Neurospora crassa OR74A: one gene and its partner. The protein of the gene in region 2 interacts with the protein of the main gene of each other region in a biochemical or structural test. Links are inferred from orthologs where the notes say so. Each region holds a gene or a part of one and is shown on either strand. Other genes may lie near its edges.

Region 1 (3,705 bases), on a different chromosome or scaffold from region 2:
TTTTCCTCCCTTCTGAACTGACCTAACCCGATTTTGGTTTAAAAAAAGATTAACGCCTTCAGCGCCGCCGTAGAATCTTGGTATCGTGTTCCGAGAAAATGAAACCCAATTGTAAACACCAATTGAATGAAATCCGAAACTGAAAGCTGTGAATATTATGCTCGTTTTGGCGGCCTGACCCAGGTTGCTATGTTGTCGTGCCCTTTCTCAAGCTACTCTCATCGTACACCAAACTACTTCACCTCTTGTCGGCACCCGGAGGCCCTTGACCAGGGGCGCCAAAAGGTGGCATACCGGGGAACGCACCTGGCGCACCGGGAGGGGGGAAGGGAAAGTTTCCTGCTCCAGGTGGGGGGAAGGGTAGACCTCCTGGGGGCGGGAATGGCAGACCACCAGGACCGGGCATCGGAGGCGGTACGCCAGGTATACCAGCAGGAGCGCCAGGCATACCAGGAAATGGGGGCATTGGAGGCATTCCGCGAGCTCCTGGCGCTCCAGGAGGAGGAATACCGCCGGGCACGCCTGGGGCACCAAAGGCTCCGGGAGGGGGCACCGGCGCGCCACCGGGCATGCCTGGGAACGGAGGAGGCATGCCGCCAGGGAAAGGCGGGAAGGGGGGAACGCCGGCGCCCGGGGGCGGGAAGCCGAGGCCGGGAGGGACTCCGCCGGGTTGGTTCTGCGGGAGCATAGGATTGGCGTGGGCTTGGCCTTCGGCGGCGTACGAGGAGGTAATCGAATCGATAACGGATTGGGCCTTCTCGTGACCAATCTCTGTAAAACAAAATCGCATTAGTTATGCGGTGAAGTCGGAAATGGTGGATTGGGGGCTTATTGTGCCGTACGTTGGTAGTAGTCAACAACGTTTCGTAAATGGTTACGACCGCTGTTGTGCGCCTTGCGGACGCTCATGGAATCGTGCGTGAGGTACACATCGCAGTAGTCGCAAAAGACTGTACAAGATGTCGTCAGCATCGAGTTGAAGATGAGCGGTCCAAGCAGTACTCACATTTTGGCATTTTGGTAGATTGTGATCGCGAAACCTTTCAAGACGGGGTTATTCGAAATCTCTGTGGCTGCCCTCGGAGAAAGTCGCAAGTTGGATGGCAACAATGATACGGCGCGCGACAACGACGAAGACAAAAGAAGGTTTGCAAGGCTGAAGTGCACTGGACACACACAATGGGACGCGATGACCAAAGCGGGACCAGGTTGGTCCTCGAGGTGCTTGGCAATAGTGGATCCTCTAAGGCTTCCCCAAAAAAGAGCTCCCCTGATCGGTTCGCGGCTGCTGATTGGCACAACAAGGGCACTCCTGCTGTCAAGCCGTTGTGGACATGCTCCAGACCTGTCTCAGCTGTCCTTAAGTTGCCTGCCCAAAGAGAAGCCGCCAGATTTCCCCTAGATCCAAGTCGCGGAGCTATTCCCATTAATACAGACAGCCCACCTTCCGCGATACGATCAGGTCACGCACTGCATAGCTTCGCCGGACTGTGTTGACAACTCGACGACACTTTCAAACTTTTTTTGTCCCGGCCGCCGTCCCACGTTCTAGATCATCCTATCAATCAGCGATCATGGCATCCCTAAAGTCGCTGCTGAGCGGCTTCCTGCTGCTCGCCGGTGCCGCCCAAGCTCTCAAGTTCGACCTTGAGGCTACCTCTTCACACCACAGCAACCAGCGACGATGCATACGGAACTTTGTCAACAAGGACACATTGGTGGTTGTAACGGCTACGCTTGACGGATACAAGGGCGATGGCATGAACGTCAACATGCACGTAGGTGCTCTCCCTCCTGGGTGCAAGTTAAAGGGGCTAGGGGATGGATTATGGGGCGGTCAATTACATGGACGAGTCTGACTTTGGACGCGACACAGATCTCCGATAGCCACGGAAACGAGTACGGCAAGGCCAAGGATATTGCTGGCGAGCAGCGCATCGTCTTCACCTCGCATCACGACGCAGCCTTCGACGTGTGCTTCGAGAACTACCTTACTGGTTGTACGTACATTCCTTGGCCATGACGAAAATTAGCAAAACAACCAGCAAAAGCTCGGATGGGAAACTGACAAGATTGCGATGATCAGCCAAGTATGTCGAGAACCCCCGCCGCCACGTCGAGCTCGATATCGACATTGGTGCCGATGCCAAGGACTGGTCCGCCATCCAGGCCACCGAGAAGCTTAAGCCACTTGAAACCGATCTGCGCCGCATCGAGGAGCTGGTCGGCGAGGTTGTTAACGAAATGGATTACTTGCGCGCTCGTGAGCAGAAGCTCCGTGATACCAATGAGAGCACCAACAACCGTGTTAAGTGGTTTGGCATGGCCACCACTTTCCTCCTCATTGCTCTCTGGGGGTGGCAGATTATGTACCTCAGGGCGTACTTCAGGTTCGTTTTCCCATCTAGCGGAGCAAATGGGTTCAGTTACTAACATAAATCTGCTTAGATCTAAGCATCTTATTTAATGGGCTGGGCGCAACCTACGATGACGACCCACAACTACCACTGTCCAAACTACCTTATTTATTATACGGCTTCATGGTAACGACGGGCGGGAGGTTTTATGAACTCTTTACTACACGCAACGCAGGCGAGCGAATGGCATACAATAGGTTGGAGATTTCTGGTGTAACTATATACGGTAATGTGTTTCAACCAAAAAGTTATGGAGTAAAAAGGAGAATTGACTGCATGCTGAGTGAGCCGTCTACTTTTGGAAGTTCAAGACTATTTGAGAGCGAAAATCTGCCCGGTGCATACCAAGAGAAGTCGCATCCAAAAGGCGTTATGGGCGTCGTGGGCGTTGTTGTGGTGATGAGTCGAAACATGAGCAATTGGCGATAGAGGCACTGGAGACGGTGGCGATGTCATGGATTGACAACGGAGATGCGGAGGGATGAACCGGAACCGGCAACAATTTTTCGGCCTCGGCCCCCATTGTATGATCACTTGCCAAGCCCGCCGAACTAGTGTAAGGGACGGGGTATTGTAGCGTCTGTAATCGGCCCCGAACGGAATCCTACAACAATTCCCATCACTTCGACATCCTCATTTATAAGCCGGAGCAGTTACCTAGTTCGCGCAACGGCACCCTCTCCACACTATCCGCTTCATCCGAGCGATTTACACACCTAACCTTGGCCGTCGCTCTATTTCGGCTACAACAATCCGTCTTCAGTCAGTTCGCCAAAAGCACCTAGACAAATCGTCGCAACAATGGCTTCCTCTCTTCGCGCCCTCCGGCCCGCGGCCGCCACCTTTGCGCGCGCTGCCGCTGTGCGCCCCGCCTCCGTCGCCAGCAGACACGTCATTGCCTTTTCGCGATCGGCCAGCAACGACAGCACAGATAACCAGCAAAAGAAGGACCTCGACGTCGGCGAACTGCAAGGCGCCACCTTCAAGATCGAGCCGCTCCGGAGAGTCGGCGAGGACCCCGCCACCATGCGGGCGCGTCTCCTTTGTACGTTTTATCTCTCCCTTCGCTAATCCTTATCTTCATCACCTACATGTAAACCCAACGAACTAACTCCCCTTCCTCTCCTTCTAGACCAATCTCGCAAACGCGGCACCCTCGAATCCGACCTGATCCTCTCCACTTTCGCCGCCGCCCACCTCGGCTCCATGACGCCCGAACAACTGAAGCAATACGACTTGTTTCTTGACGAAAACGACTGGGACATTTACTACTGGGCCACGCAAGAAC
Region 2 (3,016 bases):
CTTAATGGCGATAACGGCATCGTTTGCACCCTCGACCAGACTGTTTACCTCACCCGTGTCAAGGGTAGAAACGTGTACTGCCTTGATCGTGCTGCGAAGCCCAAGATTTTGCAGATTGACCCCACCGAGTACCGCTTCAAGCTTGCGCTTGTCAAGCGTAACTACGAGGAAATGCTACACATCATCCAGAACTCGAGCTTGGTTGGCCAGTCAATCATTGCTTACCTTCAGAAGAAGGGCTACCCTGAGATTGCGCTCCAGTTCGTCCAGGATCCTACTACCAGGTTCGAGCTTGCCATTGAGTGCGGTAATCTCGAGGTCGCTGTTGAGATGGCCAAGCAACTAGACAAGCCCAAGCTCTGGACGAGACTTAGCCAGGAGGCCCTCGCCCATGGTAACCACCAGATCGTGGAGATGTGTTACCAGAAGCTCAAACACTTTGACAAGCTTTCGTTCCTCTACCTCACCACCGGCGATCATGACAAGCTCTCGAGGATGGCCAAGATTGCTGAGCACCGTGGTGACTTCACTTCGAGATTCCAGAACGCCCTTTATCTGGGAGAGGTCCAGGACCGAATCCAGATGTTCAAGGAAATCGATTTGTACCCCCTGGCCTACATGACTGCCAAGTCTCACGGGCTTGAAGACGAGTGCCAGGAAATCCTCGAGGCTACTGGTCTCACAGAAGACCAGCTTTCGATGCCCACCCTGGGTGAACCCCTTACACCGCCCAAGCCCGTGGTTCCCACATACAAGGCTAACTGGCCAACAAAGGCGGCCTCGCAGTCCTTCTTCGAAAAGGCCCTGCTTGGCGAGGTTGAGGGCTTGTCTCTGGAAGACCAGCCCTCTGCCGCTCCCAACGGTTTAGGTCTTGAAGAGGGCGGTGCCGATGAGCCTGCGACCAAGAAGGCCGGTGCTCTTGCTGAAGGCGATGAGGACGAGGATGCTGCGGGCTGGGACATGGGCGATGACATTGTTCCGGAAGTCGAGGAGGGCTTCGTCAACGTGGAAAGCGCGGATGCCGGCGGTGCTGCAAGCAGTGAAGCGGATCTGTGGTCCCGGAACTCACCGCTCGCAGTTGATCACGTCGCTGGTGGTTCCTTTGAGTCGGCAATGCAGCTGCTCAACCGCCAGGTTGGCGCTGTCAACTTTGCTCCGCTCAAGCCTCGCTTCTTGGAGGTTTACCAGGCATCCAAGACTTATCTCCCCGCCGCGGCTAGCCTGGACCCTCTCGTCAACTACGTCCGCAGGAATCCCGAGGAGACGGATCCCAGGAAGGTTCTCCCTATCATCCCCAGGGACCTCGAGTACCTTGCTTCTAATGACCTGCAGCGCGGTTATGACGCGATGAGGGCGAACAAGCTCGAGGATGGTGTCAAGATCTTTAAGGGCATTCTGCACTCCGTCCTTGTCAACGCTGTAGGCAGTGATGGGGAGGTGGCTGAGGCCAAGAAGCTCATCGCTTCAGCCTGCGAGTACTCGGTTGCCATGTCCATTGAGCTGGCCCGCAGGCAACTCGGTTCTCCGGACCAGGTCAACAGCGATCCCTCGCTCCAGAAGCGGAGCTTGGAACTGTCGGCCTACTTCACCATTCCCAAGATCGAGGTTCCCCATCGCCAGCTTGCCTTGCTTAACGCAATGAACCTGGCTGTGCGGAGCAAGAACTACAGCTCTGCCCTTAGCTTCGCTAACAGGATATTGGCCAACGGAGGAGCCACCAAGATCACCGAGAGTGTAAGTGATAACCTACATAACCTTATCCTTTTGCTCCTTTGGTAGAGACACTGACATATTTGAAAATAACAGGCCAAGAGAACCAAGGCGCAATGCGAGCGCAACCCCCATGACGCCGTGGAGATCGAGTTCGATCAGTTTGCCGAGTTTGAGATCTGCGCTGCCAGCTTCACGCCCATCTACAGCGGTACCCCTTACGAGGAGTGCGCATTTGACGGAGCCAAGTACCACACCAAGTACAAGGGCACGGTGTGCACAGTCTGCGAGGTTTGCGAGGTCGGAAAGCACGGTAGTGGCCTGAAGCTGTTTGCTTAAAAGGGGTGGGTTTGTATGCGGTTGGCGCTACACGATGATGGGGGTTTTGATGACAAGTAAAGTAGTAGTTAAAGTACAGTCAAAGTAGGTATAATGATCGCGTTTCTTGCTTTCTTCTGCAGGAAGAACAGGGGAGAAGAGAAAAGGAAAGACAAAACCATTTTGGACGCGCCTGTTGCATAACAATTACTGCCTGCTACCAAGTAAGTTCGTGTGCTATAATCCGAACAGAAAGTCGTGGTCGCATGAATTGTCAGTTAGATAATACCATGCCAGACGCAAGCCGTAATATTATGTATCATGTTTTTGTATACATATAGGCGACACATGGAACACAATGTTAAGTAGTGTATCTGTACGTGGCCTCTGTTCTGCCTATGTAGCTAGATCTCTAAGGACCATCGTTTAAGAACGCTTGCATAAACCAACCCAACCCAACCCATACCACACCGGCCAGCCACTTTGTTGTTTTTCTACTGTTTAGACGATCGTCTCCAACTCCCTAGCATAGCCCAGCGTATTCTCAATGATCAACCGGCTGAAGGGCTTCTCCTGCTCGGCACCGGCCTCCTCCGTCGTCGGCTCAGCAGACGGGAAGTAGATGTGGCCGTCCTTGAGTACCCAGCCGCGGGAGCGGGCGAACTCGACCACTTCGCCCTCGGACTCGAGGAAGAGGAGCGACTTGGTGGAGGAGATGGGAAGCGAGGGGTAGGCGCGCTCGGAGGAGGAGGCGATTTCGGAGCGGATTTGGAAAGTGAGGATCTGTTGACAGTAAGATGCGGTGGTTAGTGATTGATGTGGTACAGATAGTTAATCGTGATATCGTTGCTTGGGGGAGAGCGAGAGAGAAGGACCTAGGGGGAAAAGGTAGAGAAAGCAAGACGCAATAAAAGAAAACCCACGAACCTCGGAAAAAACTCCATACTCCTCACAAGGAACCTCGCCCTTCTTCATTGCCTTCCACACA

Evidence for each region.
Region 1: the proteins of NCU10066 (region 2) and NCU01342 form a complex in vitro, tested with the Saccharomyces cerevisiae proteins (2 studies listed by BioGRID, with this or other methods). The link is inferred for Neurospora crassa OR74A from reciprocal best matches to the Saccharomyces cerevisiae genes COP1 and ERV25.

What each region holds. Positions count from the first base shown.
Region 1 is NC_026505.1:3,710,294-3,713,998, forward strand, and holds NCU01342 (endoplasmic reticulum vesicle protein 25), read left to right. Parts: upstream 1-1,437; 5' UTR 1,438-1,574; coding exon 1,575-1,778; intron 1,779-1,876; coding exon 1,877-2,000; intron 2,001-2,086; coding exon 2,087-2,390; intron 2,391-2,448; coding exon 2,449-2,467; 3' UTR 2,468-3,039; downstream 3,040-3,705. Other genes in the region: NCU01341 (U1 small nuclear ribonucleoprotein C), read right to left, coding at 239-771, 843-950, 1,007-1,016; NCU01343 (TPR repeat protein), read left to right, coding at 3,219-3,462, 3,550-3,705.
Region 2 is NC_026507.1:2,811,913-2,814,928, reverse strand, and holds the end of NCU10066 (coatomer alpha subunit), read left to right. Parts: coding exon 1-1,734; intron 1,735-1,806; coding exon 1,807-2,049; 3' UTR 2,050-2,462; downstream 2,463-3,016. Other genes in the region: rpn-12 (26S proteasome non-ATPase regulatory subunit 8), read right to left, coding at 2,530-2,811, 2,956-3,016. UniProt on the Saccharomyces cerevisiae protein: The coatomer is a cytosolic protein complex that binds to dilysine motifs and reversibly associates with Golgi non-clathrin-coated vesicles, which further mediate biosynthetic protein transport from the ER, via the Golgi up to the trans Golgi network.